Linked DNA regions of Caenorhabditis elegans. The protein of the gene in region 2 purifies or fractionates together with the protein of the main gene of each other region. This does not show direct contact. Each region holds a gene or a part of one and is shown on either strand. Other genes may lie near its edges. The genes, in order: fnta-1 and pgp-9.

Region 1 (9,420 bases), on a different chromosome or scaffold from region 2:
CAACTGGTGTTAGAATGAATCGAAGTCCATTGAGAGCATCTACCACTGAATTCGTGTAAATTGTCATATCATCCCAGAGACTCAGTTCGGCAGCAGCCACTGGTGGAGAATCTGGAGCAGTTTCGAATTGAGGAAGTGATGCTGGATCTATTCCGATCATGACAATGTCCCGGGAAGATCCTGTCAGTCTACTCGTCGCTTCTTGTACATTTTGACGGAATCTTTGCTCAATTAGTTTTGTTAGTTTTCCGGCGATCAGTGGTCGGAAATCGATGCCCATTCTTCCGAAAGATGATGCCATTGCCATTAGTTTTGTCCACACTGCTGACAGATCGACGGCTGATCTGAAATTAAGCACATTTTTTTTAATTTTTAATTTTTAATTGGTGATTTTCTCCGGAATTTCTAAAGTTTTAGTGGATTTTCCAGCCAAGATTTATGGAGAATCTCAGAAATTGGAGAAAATCCTCACTTAACATCCGCCTTTGTGATAAGATCCAACATTTTCTTGACATTCGAAATAACCCATTGTGACAGAATCGAGTTTGGTGGCAGAACTGGCCATGATTCCCATCTCGGATCAGCATTCGGCTGAAAAAAAAGTGAAATAAAATTGTTTTATTATTCTTGGCTATTGTTTTTTGCTCAAAATTTTTTCGATTTGATTCCCTTACATTTTTTCGAACAACTTCGTTTTCCGGAAACACTGCAAGATAAAGCACGAGAGTGTCGTACATACTGGTACGGTAGATCTCGATCGCCTGCACAATCATGTCAACATTTCCCTGAAAAAAACGAAATAAATTGTATTAAATATGTTGTGATTGGCATTTCTCACTGAAATATCTAAAATCTGTTTTTCCAGATAAATATCCCGGTGCTGAAGAACGGCGATTCTCAGCTGATTCGCTGTCAATGAGGGCATCTTTCGAACGTTATTCACAACTTTGATGGATTCTGCAAGATCCAGTGGCCCAGCGAATTTGTTGAAAAGTTCCTCCAAAAGATAAGCACGAGCTTCGACTAGGTGGTCCGCGACTTTCTAGAATTATTTTTTACGTTTTTAACAGGTTTTCCTGGGGATTTCAGACTTTTATCAGCGGATTCCGGTAGAGTTGAGTCTGTTGTTGAAGTTGCAAGCCATAATTGGTCAATGTGTAAGCCAGATCATAGTATCCTGCACGAATGCAAATGTCCATGCGCTAAAATGTTTTAAAATTACAAAGAAAAAAGAAAAGTAGATGTAGAATTACCGAGGGTAGCGTCAAAAGCTCCCAGATCGGATTTGACTTGTCCAGTGCTTTTCTGACAAGATCCTGCTCTTCAGAAAGCTGTTTAGCTTTTGCTCTAAACTCTACAAACGCAGAAGTCAACTCCTCTGCTTGATCCGACAGATTTACAGTTTTATCGCGCATTTCTCCGAACTGAAATTATTTAGGGTTTAGACTTTAAATAGATTTTTTCGTGAAATTACAGTTTTCGAGCAATCGTGAGTGGCTCTTCCAGCGTCTGCATATGTTCCATAATTATTGAATGCTAAATCACTAATCTGGGCGTCAATCGCCTTCAGCTCGCTGGCCAGCAGCACCTTTTGACGTCCTGAACGATTTTTCGATGAATTTTCACATTATTGCAGATTACTTACGCATTTCTTCAAGTCCCATATTGCGAATATCATCTCCATTATGAAATATATAATCAGAATCCATGATTTCCTACAGTAAAGGCAAATCGGCGATAAGAAAGAAATCGCGTTGGCTGCCCGTAAATCCACATGAGAGCCGGAGTGTTTGCGGAGAGTGCGCAGGAAATTACGACACTTTGCACCGTTTAACTTTAAATCCATTTTTTTTCTTTTCCGAGTTGTTCGAGCATTTAAGACGTTTTTTCCAGTTTCCAGCTCAATTTTTATTGAAAAATATTTAGAAAAAATTCAAAATTTAATGTTTTCCCCTTCAAAATCCAATATTAACGAAAAATAAGCTTGCAGGCGGAGAAAATGTCGGACAGCGATATTCCATCTTCAACTCTCTACAAAGATAACGTAGATTGGAAGGATATTACGCCGATCTACCCGAGTAAGGAGGAAGAAGTTGCTGTTAAGATCGCTGTTACGGAAGACTGTAAGAAATTTTGAGATCAAATTAATAATTATTCAAATTTTAATTTTGCAGTCACCGATGCTTTCGCCTACTTCCGTGCAATTCTAATAAAAAACGAGAAGTCGGATCGAGTGATGGCACTTCTCGAGGATTGCATTAGACTTAATCCAGCGAATTACACAGTTTGGCAGTATCGCCGCGTGTGTCTCACCGAGTTGGGATGGGATTTGAAGAAGGAGATGCGGTATCTCAGCGATATTATTCAAGAATCACCGAAAAACTATCAAGTCTGGCATCACCGTCGCTTCATCGTCGAAACGATTGGAGAAAGTGCGGTGAACGATGAGCTTCATTTTTGCTCGGAAGTCATCCGCGACGAGAACAAAAACTATCACGCGTGGCAGCACCGTCAATGGGTTGTACGGACTTTCAAGGTTCCACTGGAGAAAGAGCTCACATTTGCTCTTCACATGCTTCTTCTCGATAATCGCAACAATTCGGCGTATAATTATCGCTATTTTCTGATGACTCTCTACGATAAGACGGAGGATGCGAGCCAGCTTGACATTGAGATCAAGTAAGGAAATATAACAGCGATCAATTTTTTGTTCACGATTAGCGTTTTTAGTGGAGAAACATCTATCTGATGTAGAAAGCGATTCAGAAACTAAAAATCTCCGAAAATTCCAGAATATTCTTCTCAATTTCTGATTTTTAGTGATGAAAACTACCTAAAAATTGAAAACTGTCCAAATATTTGATTAATCAAACATGAAGATAACTTTGAAAGTAAAAATTTTTGGTTGAGGCTGAAGAGTTTGGGTGAGGCTAAGAGTTTGGTTGAGGCTAAGAGTTTGGTTGAGGCTAAGAATTTGGTTGAGGCTAAGCGTTTGGTTGAGGCTAAGAATTTGGTTGAGGCTGAAGAGTTTGGTTGAGGCTAACAAGGAAAGGAAGTCAATCTAGTATCGGACTTTAAATTGAGACGTATGTCATTTGAAAGCTTATGTTTAGACTAGATCACCACAAAAATTTCAGCGGCGGAACTCAACTCTGAACCCCTGAAATCGCCATCTGAAAATTTTTCTCTGCGCCCTCCTAGTTTTCAATACTATTTCGTACTTATTCATTTTACTTATACAAAAAATGATTTTCAATCATTATGAAATGGTTACAAACATGGAAAACAATAAAAAACAACGGTTGATGGCCGAATGGTAAACGCTTGGAATAATAAAATAAAGGTCTCGTGTTCGATTCTTTCAGTGGAAATAATTTTTTTCTTCAACTTTTAAAAACTGCAATCGGGCCCTTTGTAAAAAATTGTAAAAAATTGTAAAAAGGCTCAATTCGAAGAAATATGTAGCTTTTTGCATGCCCGGATACAAAAAAATAGTTTTGGAATTTTTTCAAAAAAAAAAATTTTTGACCAAAAATTTGGTGTCCAATGGATCGAAAAAATTTCAGATTTTTTTCAAAAAAATAAAAATTTCCAAAAAGCTCCCACATTGTTTGTTAGACCCTAAAAACCCCCAAAAACAATTTCTAATCTCTCAGAACCCCTTTTGAGGCCATTTACTTGATATAGAAGTCAGCGAAAAAATGCACTGGAGCATAGATAGATTGACTTCCTTTCCTTGTAAGAGTTTGGTTGAGGCTAAGAGTTTGTTTGAGGCTAAATAGTTGTTGCACATCTTCCATTAAACTTGAACACAAAACCTCTCAATTTTTCTAGCCTCGCCAAGAAGTTCATTGAGAATATTCCGAACAACGAAAGTGCCTGGAACTACCTCGCAGGGCTTCTCATCACAAATGGAGTAACCTCGAACAGTGATGTTGTCAGTTTTGTGGAGGATTTGTATGAGACAACTCCTGAAGAGAAACGGTCACCATTCCTTCTTGCATTTATCGCCGATATGATGCTCGAAAATATTGAAAACCAAAAGTCTGCGGAAGAAAGCGCTGGGCGCGCTAAAAAGGTTTGTAAGTCTAGAAAGTTCATGAGAAATGGGATAACATTGGAGAATTTTTAACTAAAAATTTCCTTTTTTTTAATTAAAAGTGCACATTTTCGCTTTAAATGAATTTGCGCTCTAAACGCCTCAAATTCCCGAAATTTCCAGCTCTACAAGGATCTTCAATCGATCGACCCGGTTCGAGTCAACTACTACCGCCATCAGAGTCTTCTTGCTCAAACGATGCTCATCAAGGCACAGACGAAGGTCACTGCCAAGTAATTCTTTCTGAATTCCACGTTTTTTTTGTATTTATATGTTTTTGTGTAAGTATATCCCAATGATTTCCCACAATTTGCCGTCCTACTTATTTATTTAAAAAATTTTTTTTTAAATTATTATTCAATGATGCTTTTTTTATAGTTTATTCTTAATTTTTATACCTTTTGTCACGTTTTTTAGTTGAAAGGCAAGAGAAAATGGAAATTTCCGAGGCACAGCGGCACTCCGATATCTTTCATGCGCCTTTAAGTTTGGAGTACTGTAGATTTTGAATTTTTTTTCTTGAATTATTGCAAATAATTGAAATATTTCGAAATCAACTGTTTATTCATCATTTCGGCTACCAGTTTTCTTTGTTTCTGAGAGAAATATTAAAAATTTATTCTTCTTTTCCAAATTTAAATTTCGATGATACAAGAACCCCTGACAGAATTTAATTTTTCTCGGGAAAAGCGTTGTTTATTCTTCAAAAAAAATCGATTCTAAATTTCTTAAAAATAAAATTATTAAGATGGAACAACGGGATATGAAAACCGTTTTTCTGCTGGATCGGAGCGCGAAATTCGTGGAAAACTGTAACGAAACGTTCGATGTCACAATTCGAGAAGGCCCAAAACAGAAGAAACTTCAATTCGAAAAAACCATTTGGACGTGGTGCCTTGAGGGAATCTTCGAAATGCACAGAATTCTGAGTGACGTCTATCCACGTGGCACTCTACAGCTTCGATTTGCCCTGGCGGACTTCATGGGAAAGATGTTGGATACGCAGTGGACGGACGGATTTTTGACTCGAGAAGAGCTCGGAGAACTCATTGAGACTGTGAGCCGCCCGAGTGAGGCTAATACTGATATTACACCAATTGGTGGATTGACTATGGCCATTGAAGCGTTGGCTGTGCAGTCGCCTGAACAGAGAAATTATAATTATGATGTACGATATAGTGCAAGTGAGTATTTCCTTTTGAAACATTAATTATTTTATCCAAAATCGTAATTATGATCATCTGGAAATCTTTAAAAAAAAGGTTTTACACTAGTTTTACACGAAATCTATGGTTTTCAAGCCTTTTTTACGTAGAAAAACTATCGAAAAATGATTTAAAAAAATCTTGAAAAATCACTGAAAACCCGCATTTTCCGTTAGAAATCTACCTTATTCTGAAAATTTCCAGACAAACGTACAGCTCAAAACTCGGAAGTAATACGCGTGACACGAGAACTCAGAGGTCTTCCACCACTTCCAACTGTTCAAAACGCCGGAAATTTGATTATGTACACCCGGTTGAATACTCAAGAGGAAATGGAACAATTACAGACGGAGATTGTCGAGTTAGTTGTGTCACGCAACAAAATCGCCGACGCTCCTTCAAATAAAACGTAATATTTTGATTATAAAATCGGTTTTTTCGCCAAAAATCACAAAAAAGAACCCAGTTTTAAGACATTTTGTAAACAAAAATCCGGGGCCTCACTCATACTATTCAGTCTCGCAGAAAAATCCAGAGAGCCTCAACCAAAAATCCAGAGAGCCTCAACCAAAAATCCAGAGAGCCTCAACCAAAAATCCTGAGAGCCTCACCCAAAAATCCAGAGAGCCTCAATCAAAAATCCAGAGAGCCTCAACCAAAAATCAAGAGAGCCTCAACCGAAAATTCTGAGCCTCACCCAAAAATCCAGAGAGCCTCAATCAAAAATCCAGTGAGCCTCAATCAAAAATCAAGAGAGCCTCAACCAAAAATCCTGAGAGCCTCAACCAAAAATCTAGAGAGCCTCAGCCAAAAATCTAGAGAGCCTCAGCCAAAAATCCCGAGGGATCAATTTTACCAAGCAATTTGAATAGATTCTTACCATAAACTTCAATAAAATTTAATTTATCTTTCCAGATTCTGCCCAATTACTTCTCTTCGCTTATTCATCGTGAATTACTATGCCACTGGAGACGAATGTACAGTAAAAACTCATTCCCTTCAAGCTCATCCGGATCTTCCACTGCTCAAAATTTGGGTAATCTCACGAAAAGCCGCGGATATGTGTGACGCGATTCATTCATTGCTTGTTGATGCATTCGATCTAGGATCAACTACAGTAACCAAGATCCCAATGAAAGAAGACAATCGAGGATCTTCGAATTATGATGTTGAGCTGTTTCATTCGGGAAAAGTTCATGCGATGCTCAAGGAGAATAACCTTATCGATGTGAGAAAATGAAGAGGGTTTAGGACTTCTTAATAACTTTTTCAGAAAACAAATTTTGTATTGTAGATACCGTACCCGCTAGTACGGTAATTATTGCATCCTTTCAAAGTAATTGTTTTAACTCCGTTTTTCGGAAAAAATTACTTTGGGAAATGCGGAAAGCTTATCAAAGTGTTCTTCTCCGGATTTTTAAAATTTTTTAAATAAAAAACAATGTGGCGGATGCATATTCTTCCATTTTCAAGCCTGAGAATAAATTTTTTTATAATTTTCAGACGGTGAGCAAAAAAGGCGACTCGGACAAGGGTGTAACTTACGATACAATGCGGCTCACCTGGACCACAGCTCCCAAGACAAAATGGTCATTGGTAAGGAAAAAAAAGAAAAAGTTCCGAGAAGAACTTGAAAATAGAAGATTTTCGGTTTTTTTTGCCTAGAAGAACGAGAATATTCCATAACTCTGCCACTTTCAACAAAAAAAAACCAATTATAATCTTTGAAAATCTCAATTTTTTACAGTTCCCATACCACGGAGCAGCTGTCCCGTGTACTACGGCTCAAGCATATTCCCGCCCGTCAGCCTGCCTTACCCAATTCGTTCGTGATGGTCGATGTGTGATGCTTGATTCGGAGAAAACTACAGAACTCGGAATGAATATGCATGAAAAACTTGTCTCACATTTGCTTATTGCGAATCGTGGAAGAATTTTTATTCAGGAAATTGATTTCATGCAGAAAAGTTTGTAATTTATACAATTATTTTGCCGTCGAAAAATCTCACCGAAAAATCCTGAGCCTCTTTATCCTGATAGCCTCACCCAAAAATACTGAGCCTCAACCAAAAAATCCAGAGAACCTCAACCAAAAATCTTGAAAGCCTCACCAAAAATCCTTAGCCTCAACCAAAAATCCTTAGCCTCAACCAAAAATACTTAGCCTCAACCAAAAATACTTAGCCTCAACCAAAAATACTTAGCCTCAACCAAAAATCCTGAGCCTCAACCAAAAATCCCTAGCCTCACTCAAAATCCCGAGCCTCAACCAAAAATCCTCAGCCTCAACAAAAAATTCTTAGCCTCAACCAAAAATTTTTCTGAAATAATTTTTATATTTTCGCAGAAGACAGAAAACTCGGTCACTATTTTGTTTAAATTTGAGAAAAAAAAATTCAAAACCCAAACATTTGCAGAAGCCGACCGAATCGCTGGAAAACTGAAGCGTCCACGTGTGCTTCATGCTCCGGAGGATCCGATTAATATGAACCAACTTCGGCACACTTATAAGCAGCTCGAGCTCCGTTTTGTCGCCAAAAACCGCATGGACGATAATTTGACAGAAAAAGAGACGGAGAAATGGACAGGATTGAAGAATTCAGATTTGAAGAAAAGATTTCAACGAATTTCCAAAAATATTCCATGTTTCGCAGCGGATACATTTATTTTCAATGAGAAAGTTACACCAAAACTCGAGCCATTAATCAGTTTAATCACAAAAACTACATTATCAGAAAATGACGTGGATAAGTGTAAACAATGCATTGTAACACTTTATCAAATGAAAAATGAACGACAATACGTGATTTCACCGGAATCTGACATCAAAATCAGCTCAGTTCGGAATTTGAAGGATCCAGATGAACAATTGAGAGTGACATTTGTGGAGTTGGCTAAACATATCATGAAATATGTTACTTTCTCTGAAAAACATAAGGAGATTTATAAGACCTATATGACTACATTGAATGTTGATAAACTGTTGGAAGTTGATTTGGATGATGATGAAGCTGTTGATAAGTGAGCAGATTTTCAAAAAGGAATCCTTTAAAAGTTGATAAAAAATAAAATAACGAATTTTCCTTTTTTTTTTCTAAAAAAGTCTTGTTTTAAACAAAATTATGACGTAGCGCAATTTTTTGTGAATTTCAGAAAAAAAAATTAAAATATTTTTTTTAGTAAATCGAGAAAAATCGAAACATTTTCTAATTTTCAAAACTCAAAAAAAAAATCAAAAAATGAGTAAATGAGTGTTCTTGTACTTTTTCTCATTTTTAGATTCAAAATATTTCAATTTTCTGGAAAATGAAAAATTGAATCTTAGAATTTTTTTTGTTTTTCGAAATTCTGAAAATTTTTAAATTTGAAATAAAATAGTATTTATTTTTTAGAAATTGAATAATCACGATATATTTTATGTTTTCGTTTTTTTTTAAATTAAAAACACATCTTTAAATTAGTTGTCAAAAAAAATTTCCAATTCTTCCAGAATGTTCGTGAAATTCTCATTTTTTGGAAAATCGGACACCGCTTCAAAAACCGATGAAGATGAAGATTCCAGTGATGATGAAGACGAGGAAATCCTTAAAAGTCCGGCATTGAAGAAACTATTTGGTTATGTGGATGCACGAGATGAACGAAAATATGAAGAATTATATGGTCAGGGATTCAAAAAGAAGAAGCCTGAAGTCGAGGAGAAGCCGATTGTTATGGCAAAAGGTTGGAAAAAGTTGTGGGAGTTCTACTGGAAATATCGCTAAAATTCCGCAAAAATCTACTGACAAATGAGAAAATTAGGCTGTAAAGTCTGAAAAAAATGAACAAAAACTTTAAAATTCTGAACATTTACGTAAAGTCATCTGGAAATTGCAGAATGTGCTTCCTTTGGATTTTCTGCAATTTCCTGATTATTTTTTAATTAAAAATTCTTAATTTATGATTTTCTGATCACTAAAAAAGTGAAATTTGAGCGATTTTCTGAGTTTACCACTTTTTTCAGCTGAATTACAAACATTCGAACTAAAAAAAAAACAACTTATATATACAGCTCTAATGTTCAATAATTTTTTTTTCGGTAAATGCAGAATACAATATAATTGAAAAAACAAGCTGAAT
Region 2 (9,245 bases):
TCGTGACGTCAGCACGTTCTTACCCATGCGAAATCAGTTGAGATGTCTGCGTCTCACCTCCCGCATTTTTTGTAGATCAAAGCGAAATTGGGCTTTCGGACTCCGCGTGTAAATTGGAATGAAACTAAAAAACTCTAAAATTTGTGTAAAGTACTGGAAAATACGGAATTTGAAAGAATTTGGAAAATTTTAAATTTCGGCAAACTATTGGAAAAATATAACAAATATCTGAAAATTTCTGAAATTATTATTGAAAAAATCTGGAAACACCTTAATTTATTTTTTAAATCTATAAAATTTCAAAAATTAAAGTAAATTATAGAAATTTAATTTTAAAAAAATTAAATTAAAAAATTCTGTCACAAGTTCACAATTTTGAAAAAAAAATTTTTTTTCGAATTTTTTAAAAAATTTTCAGAAATTTCGTAAAACTTTTTTTTCTAAAACTCATCCCCAATAATCTCCAGCTCAGAAGTTTTTTAATTTTTCAAAATTAAACCTCAAAATACACCTCTCAATATCAAAAAGAGGAGTAACAAGCAAACAAAGAACCCCTGGCAAACGCCCCGAGAAAAACTCCAAACCACACGGAAAGCACACAAAAAGAATGCTCGCCGAGCTCCGTTGATAAACAATTGATAAAAAGTTACACCATTCCGTTTGTGTGGTTTATGTCACTTATTGAGGTGCACGGAACTGGAAATGCGGAGTTTATGCTCTGAAACTGTAAAATTTTGGCAATTTGTCGGACATTTTTTGTGAAGAACCTATAAATATAAAAATTTCGGAAAGATAAGAAGAACAATGTCATGTAATTCGAATTTCATCAGTTTAAGTTTTAACATTTTTTTCAATCTTCTATTGATTTCCTTATATTTTGAGTTTTCTAGTTGAATTTCGAGTCTAAATTGATAAAATTCAAGTTTTAAAACTAAAAAATTCCGACTCAGGGGTATCTAATTACCCTAAAACTTTAAACTTTTGGAAAAAAAACAATAAAAAAGTTTTTACCACAGTGCGGACTCGAACCCCGGTCTTCTGATTGGAAGCAAAACCGTGGAAAATCCCACTGAGCCATTCGGACGAATTTTTCAAAAATGATAAGAAAATGATCAAAATGCGATAAAAATGATAAAAAGACCCAGAAGTTTCCGTATAAAATAACTTGAAATAATATGTGTTCAGAAAAAACTATTTATTTTCGAAAACTTTGGATTTCTTAGTGATTTTTACATATCAAGATTATAAAATTCGAATTCAACACATTTTTATTACCCTAATACAAGTTTTAAATTCGTAAAAATGTTTCGACCACAGTGCGGACTCGAACCCCGGTCTGGTGATTGGAAGGGAAGTCGTGGAAAATCCCACTGAGCCACTTGGTCATATTTTTTAAAAAATGTCCAGAAGAAACAAAAACAAGTATAAGTGTTTTTTTTTAATCAACATTTTCTGAAAATTTTCTTGAATTTTCATATGGAATTGCAGGAATTTATTTGATTTTTCGAAAAACGTGCGTTTTTTAGTTTCTTTGAGTGATTTTCACATATTAAAACTATAAAAAATGAATTCAACACTTTTTGTCACTCTAAAAAATTTTTAAAAATTCAAAACAAAATTCGATCACGGTGCGGACTCGAACCCCGGCCTCGTTATTGGAAGGGAATTTGTGGAAAATCCCACTGAGCCACTTGAACACATTTTTTGAAAAATGTCCAGAAAAGGCAAAAACAAGTATAATTGTTATTTTTATCAAAATTTTCTGAAATTTTCTTAAATTGTCTTGCGGAAGTACAGGAATTTGTATGATTTCGCAAAAAAAAAACGTTTTCGTTTTTTTTTCGAGTGATTTTCACAAATTGAAACCAAAAATACTGAAATCAGGACTTTTTAATTACTCTAAAAAATTTTTACCACAGTGCGGACTCGAACCCCGGTCTTGTGATTGGGAGGAAAGTCGTGGAAAATCACACTGAGCCACTCGGACACAATTTTCAAAAAAAAATTTAAACTTCCCAAAATTGGTATTTTTATGATTTTAAGTATTAAAAATAGCTTTCAAGCCAAAAATATCCAATTTTTTGTGATTTTCGTCACATTTTCAAAATTTTTGCCATACATTTTTTTGACCTTGGTGTTTTTCCTTGTTTTTCGAATTATGCAAAGTTGATACTCTAAACAAATATGAGAGAGAAATCGTATTCTAACCTATCAAAAAAAGATGCTATAAAACTGGCGAGCACACTGCATTTTTGATGAGCATAAACTATAGGAGGGAAATGTGATCACTGAGCGAAGGTTTTGAGTACGTAATGTGATACTTTGCCCATTTTATAGTTCTTGATCATTTGATGTTTATTTTTCTTTTATTTTTCAAAAAAAAAATGCAAAAAAATTTTTTTTTTTGCACCAGTGGCTCAGTGGGGATTTGCATGACTGCCACTCAGAAGACCGTGGTTCGAGTCCGCACTGCGGTCGAATTTTTTTTCTCGATTTTTAAAGATGTTTCAGAGTAACTCAGGCGTGCTGAATTCGATTTTTATATTTATATGCCTCAAAATTTCCTAAAAATTCCCGTTTTTCGAGCAAAAATCCAATATTTGTCTAGTTTGACCTATCAAATTTCGCAATTCATTCCGAATAGATATAAACATTTTGGTTTTGCATCATGAAGTGTATGATATCACTAGGTTGTGTATATAAGCACAAAAGTTTCATGATATCTTATCATTTATTAATTGCTTCTATTTAATTTCGTCTGCACACTGGGCCTGCAGTTTTCTTAGATTTTTTAAAAAGATTTTTTAGAAAACAATGCGAGTATAATTAATTTTATCAAAATTTGGCTTTAAAAGCAATTTTTGAAAAATTGGGTCCAAATGGCGCAGTGGGATTTTACGCAAAATGCCTTCCAATCAGAAGACCAGGGTTCGAGTCCGCACTCTGGTCGAAATATTTTTTTTTGATTTTTAATCGAAGTTTAATCAACGTTTTAGAGTAATTATAATATTTCCAATTCAAATTTAATAATTTCAGTATCTGAAAATTCCTTTAAAATATATTAAACTCAATAATAAATAAATTTAAAAAGCTAGAACAGTTCTCTGATTTTTTGATTTCTGTTTTAACACACTTAGCAAACAGTTCAAAATGTACTGCCAACTTATTTTCTGTTGACCCACTTTAAGCTCCGCCCACTTTTCTTTCCCTAGACTTTTGTTTCTCCAAACTATAGAGAGATCTTTCGAAAACTGACGGAATTCACTTTGTTTTATTTCTCAATTCCTCCAATTTCAGTGTGTACTTAGGGCAGTGATAAGAGGTTGATAAAACTGTCGGCAGTTGGACTGATAACAATATGAAAGAATTTTTGGGCTCTTTCATTTCATTTTTTCGCTCAAGGATCATATTTTCAGTGACTTTTTGAAATTTCTAAGTTTTTCAGTAGATTTTTTGGTTTAATGTTGGAAAATTTGAAATCAGCATCTATTATTTACCCTAAAACTTTTCGAGAAAAAATGAAAAATGGTAAGCCACAGTGCGGACTCGAACCCCGGTCTTGTGATTGGAAGGGACTTCGGGGAAAATCGCACTGCGCCATTTGGACACATTTTTCAAAAAACTGCTCAGAAAAAAGTCAGAATATTGATTTTACAGCTAACTTGAGTGAATTATCGAAATTTTCAGCAATTTGGATATACAATATTGAATTTCTTCCCAAAAACCGTTGCATTCCAGAAAATTTCAAATTTTATTATATTTTTTTCGAATTTTTATTTTGAAAATCGAGTTCAGCATGTCAGAATTACTTTAAAAACTATTCGAAAAAGCAAATAAAAAATTTCGACCACTGTGCGGGCTCGAACCCCGGTCTTCTGATTGGAAGGGACTTCGTGGAAAATCCCACTGAGCCATTCGTACATTTTTCTGGAAAACTACGATTTGAACCGTTTTTTGTGACTTTTTCGATTTTCTGCGTACTTTTTTGAATTTTATGTATTTTTTTCAGGTAATGGGTCTATTCAAAAAGAAGAAGGATGATTCATCATCGGAAGGGTAGGTATTTCTGAGGAACCGCACCTAAAAACGCTGAAAATTTTTGCAGATCATCAGAGAAAAAAGAAGAAGCTCCACCGCCGCCAAAAATCTCAATTTTTCAACTATACCGGTACACAAGCACAGTAGATCGGTTAATGTTGGCAGTAGGAATCATTGTATCATGTGCCACCGGTGTAGGACTCCCTTTGATGTCTATTATTATGGTAAAATAATTTTTTTTAAATAGTTTTGTCTTAAAATAACCTAAAAATAATCTAAATCATTGCAGGGTAACGTGTCACAAAACTTCGTCACCCTTGGTACCATTTTCCTGGATCCTAACTCAACTGCGTCAGAAAAAGCTGCGGCAAGAGCCGAGTTTTCTCATGAAGTTATTCAAAATTGTTTGAAATACGTTTACCTTGGATGTGGAATTTTTGCTGCTGGTTTTCTACAGGTATTGGGTTTAGTTTTGCGAAAAATCGAAATTGAACAAAAAAATTTCGGAAAAAATAAATTAAGAAATTTCGAAAAAAAATTTTCGAAAAATGTTTAGTCAATTTTTTTTTCAAATCGCCTAAAGTTATAAAATTCCGAACATATACACAAATTTAAATGAATTTCACTTTTTCTAGCTTTTATCCGCAAAAAAATTGAATTTTCTAAAAATTTAAAGAAAAAACTTTTGAGCACAATTTCAGGCCAAAATTTCGCAAATTTTGTAAAAATACAAGTTTTCGACATGAGATTTGAATTTAGCAGCTTTGAATTACTCTAAAAACATCCTTAAAAACCAAAAAAAAAGTTTTGGCCACCATGCGGACTCGAACCCCGGTCTTCTGATTGGAACGGAAATCGTGGAAAATCCCACTGAGCCATTTGGACACAGTTTTCAAAATTGTTTAGAAAAATCAAAAAAAAATTGATTTTACAATTAATTTGAGTAAATTTTTAAAAATTTTCGGCAATTTGGATATACAAAATTGAACTCCTTCCCAAAAGCCGTTTTATTTTTGAAATTTTCTAAATTTATTCATTTTTTTTTTGAATTTTTTCATTGAAAATCGACATCAGCACATTAGAATTACTCTAAAACATTTTTAAAAACAAAAAAAAAGTTTTGCCCACTATGCGGACTCGAACCCCGGTCTTCTGATTGGAATGGAATTTGTGGAAAATCTCACTGCGCCATTTGGACACATTTTTAAAAATTCTCAGAAAATTAGTTTTTCTTCAAATCTCTTCAATTTTTAAGGCTTCATGCTTCATGGTAATCTGTGAGAAACTGTCAAATAGATTCCGGCGGCAGTTCTTCCATTCTGTGATGCGTCAGGAGATTGCCTGGTACGACAAGAATACGTCTGGAACTTTGTCGAATAAGCTTTTTGAGTGAGTTTAGAAATTTTAAAGCTTTTTTTTTTTAAATTTGGAATTGATTTGAATTTTGAAAAATAATATGACCGAAACAAAAATTGTTGCTTAAAAATGTTGAACTTTATTTTTCTAAAAATTTTTTTCCGCAAATCGGCAAATCTGCAAATTGCCTGAATTGAAAATTTCCGTCTAATGGGCAAACCGGCAAATCGGTAAACCTACAAATTGCATAAATTGAAAATTTCCGGTAAATTCGGCAAACCGGCAATTTGTCGGAATTGAAAATTTCTGACAAATCGGAAAACCGGCAAATCGGCAAATTACTTAAATTGAAAATTTCCGGCAAGTGTGCAAACCGGCAAATCGGTAAACCTTCAAATTGCATAAATTGAAAGTTTCCGGCGAACAGGCAAACCTGCAATTTGCAGGAATTGAAAAATTCCTTCAAATGGGCAAATGGGCAAATTGCCGGAACTGAAAACTTCCGGTAAATGTGCAGACTGGCAATTTACCAAAAATGAAAATTTCTGGCAATTGGGCAAACCGGCAAATTGCCCAAATTGAAAATTTCCAACACATCGACAAATCGGCAAATGTCCTGTTACAAATTTCCGGCAAATCGGCAAACAGGCAAATTGCCGGAATTGAAAATATGCCGATTTGCCGGATTTGCCCCCTCCTCATTTCATATAAATACCCCTTAAAACCATTAATTTTTTCAGCAATCTTGAACGTGTCCGCGAAGGTACCGGAGACAAAGTCGGTCTGGCCTTCCAGATGATGGCTCAGTTCATCGGTGGATTTGCCGTGGCTTTTACCTACGACTGGCTTCTAACCCTAATTATGATGTCACTTTCTCCATTTATGATGATTTGCGGCTTGTTCCTTGCCAAACTTCTCGCCACCGCAGCTACCAAAGAGGCTAAGCAGTACGCCGTTGCCGGAGGAATCGCTGAGGAAGTTCTGACCTCGATCAGAACAGTTATTGCGTTTAACGGTCAGGAATATGAGTGTAAACGGTACGAGGATGCTCTGGAGCACGGTAAAAAGACTGGAATCAAGAAAAGTTTCCTAATCGGAGCCGGGCTTGCGTCCTTCTTCGTCATCATCTACGCCTCCTACTGCCTCGCCTTCTGGGTTGGAACCAATTTCGTGTATAGTGGACGCCTGGAGTCTGGTACAGTACTAACCGTTTTCTTCTCGGTGATGATGGGATCCATGGCACTTGGGCAGGCTGGACAGCAATTTGCAACCATTGGTACAGCTCTGGGAGCCGCCGCCTCCCTCTATGAGGTCATTGACAGAATACCGGAAATCGATGCATACTCTACTGAGGGACAGACTCCGAGCAAGATTTCCGGAAGGATTTCTGTGAATAAAGTGGAATTTACGTACCCGACACGTGCTGATGTGAAGATCCTTAAGGGTGTCTCGTTGGATGCTCAACCCGGACAGACTGTCGCATTGGTTGGAAGCTCCGGATGTGGAAAGTCGACTATTATTCAGTTGCTTCAACGGTTCTATAACCCGGATGCCGGGCAGATTTTGATTGATGACATTCCGATTGAGGACTTTAATATTAAGTATCTCCGACAACTGGTTGGAGTTGTGAGCCAGGAGCCCAACTTGTTCAATACATCTATTGAACAGAACATTCGTTATGGAAGAAGTGATGTTTCAGATGAAGATATTGCTAGAGCTTTGAAGGAGGCAAATGCTGCGGATTTCATCAAGACATTCCCAGGTTAGATTTAATCGATAGAAAATTTAATGCTAATCATTTTTGCAGTTTAAATTTTCTTGATATCTCTATTCTCCGTGGAGATATACGCGTTTGAAGTTGAGAGAGCGAAACACTGTGGGAGAGGGAGAGACGCAGGTGGCGTGACTTTCTGCACTCTCCCCTCCCTCCACACACTCTCTCATTGCGCGAACATTGAACCGTTGTAACTCTGCAGTGGTTAGAGCTATCAAAAAGATTCAAAATGGAAAAATATTGTAAATTTCACGAGGAACACGTTGAAGTTAATAGCTTGTGTGATTTTCAGAAAAAAAAACCGGAAAATTTGGAACTTAAGAGTTTTTCTTTAAAACTCATTCGAAGCAAAATTGCATGCTGATCATTTTTCCAGTTCAAAGTTTTTTGATATCTCTATTCTCCGTGAAAACGTGCGTTTGAAGTTTAGACAGCGAAACACCGTGGGAGGGAGAGAGACGCAGGTGGTGAGGCTGTCTGCACTCTCCCCTCCCTCCACACACTCTCTCATTGCGCGAACTTTGAGCCGTTGTAACTCTGCAGTGGTTAGAGCTATCAAAAAAGTTCAAAACGAAGAAATAATGTAAAATTTACAAGGAATACGCTGAAGTTAATAGCTTGTGTGATTTTTAGAAAAAAAAACCGGAAAATTCGGAAATTTAGATTTCAGTTAAAATTTTCAATGAAAATTCGAAGCAAAATTGAATGCTGGTCCTTTTTCCAGTTCAAAATTTTTCGATATCTCTATTCTCCGTGGAGATATACACGTTTGAAATTGAGACAGCGAAACACGCGTTTGAAATTGAGACAGCGAAACACCGTGGGAGAGGGAGAGACGCAGGTGGTAGGGCTGTCTGCGCTCTCCTCTCCCTCCACACTCTTTCACCGTGCAAACTTTAAACCGTTGTAACTCTGCAACGGGTTGAGATATCAAAAAAATTTCAACTATCGGTATTATCAAAATTTAATCTAGATATCAAATCATATAAATTCAAAATTTTTGCAATTTCCAGAAGGCCTCAACACTCTCGTCGGAGATCGTGGAGTTCAAATGTCCGGAGGTCAAAAGCAACGTATTGCCATTGCCCGTGCCCTTGTCAGAAACCCCAAGATTCTGCTCCTCGACGAAGCCACAAGTGCTCTGGACGCCGAATCCGAGAGTATTGTGCAATCGGCTCTGGAGAACGCATCGCGTGGGCGTACCACAATTGTGATTGCTCATCGTCTGTCGACAGTTCGTAACGCTGATAAGATCATCGTGATGAAGGCCGGACAAGTGATGGAAGTGGGAACTCACGAGACTTTGATAGAGCAGAAGGGCCTATACCATGAGTTGGTGCATGCTCAGGTGTTTGCTGATGTGGATGACAAGCCGAAGAAGAAAGAAGCAGAAAGACGGATGTCTAGGCAGACATCGCAGAGGAAAGGATCAGTGGTAAGAGCCAACCTAGTTGAAATTTCCTCTAACTAACTTATTTTTCCAGAACTTCAAAACCCAAGAGTCCCAGGTAGACGAGAAGCCCGGAGCCCCACCAGCCCCTGAGGCCGCTGAAAAAGAGATCAAACGTCTGAAGAAGGAACTCGAAGAGGAAGGAGCTGTCAAAGCGAACTTATTCAAGATCTTAAGATACGCCCGTCCAGAATGGATCTACATCTTCTTCGCCATCATTGCAGCCCTCATCCAGGGAGCCGTGATGCCAGCTTTCTCGCTTTTCTTCAGTCAGATCATCAACGTTTTCTCGAATCCAGACCGTGATCAAATGAAGAAAGACGGGCATTTCTGGGCGTTGATGTTCTTGGTACTTGCAGCGGTTCAAGGAACTTCCATGTTGTTCCAGTGTTCCCTGTTCGGAGTTGCTGCCGAAAGATTGACAATGAGGATTCGGTCGAAGGTGTACAGAAATGTTTTGAGGCAGGATGCCACGTACTTTGATATGCCTAAGCACTCGCCTGGAAGAATTACGACTAGATTAGCGACAGATGCTCCAAATATCAAATCTGCTATTGATTATCGGTAAGATTTAGAATCTTCCTAATAGCTCTAAATAAGGGTGTCGGTTTTTCGATTTTCTCAGAA

What was found.
Region 1: the proteins of pgp-9 (region 2) and fnta-1 fractionate together in Caenorhabditis elegans (co-fractionation; one large-scale study listed by BioGRID). This does not show direct contact.

Annotation. Positions count from the first base shown.
Region 1 is NC_003282.8:232,878-242,297, reverse strand, and holds fnta-1 (Protein farnesyltransferase/geranylgeranyltransferase type-1 subunit alpha), read left to right. Parts: upstream 1-1,990; 5' UTR 1,991-1,999; coding exon 2,000-2,123; intron 2,124-2,174; coding exon 2,175-2,679; intron 2,680-3,834; coding exon 3,835-4,078; intron 4,079-4,222; coding exon 4,223-4,336; 3' UTR 4,337-4,707; downstream 4,708-9,420. Other genes in the region: cogc-8 (Conserved oligomeric Golgi complex subunit 8), read right to left, coding at 1-344, 473-591, 675-785, 839-1,042, 1,092-1,202, 1,254-1,424, 1,475-1,599, 1,646-1,709; ints-13 (Protein asunder), read left to right, coding at 4,848-5,283, 5,509-5,713, 6,220-6,532, 6,808-6,900, 7,052-7,271, 7,722-8,325, 8,795-9,024.
Region 2 is NC_003283.11:17,751,885-17,761,129, forward strand, and holds the start of pgp-9 (P-GlycoProtein related), read left to right. Parts: upstream 1-4,007; 5' UTR 4,008-4,012; coding exon 4,013-4,056; intron 4,057-4,105; coding exon 4,106-4,262; intron 4,263-4,327; coding exon 4,328-4,495; intron 4,496-4,825; exon of another isoform or gene 4,826-4,918; intron 4,919-5,293; coding exon 5,294-5,427; intron 5,428-6,134; coding exon 6,135-7,156; intron 7,157-8,181; coding exon 8,182-8,603; intron 8,604-8,652; coding exon 8,653-9,182; intron 9,183-9,245.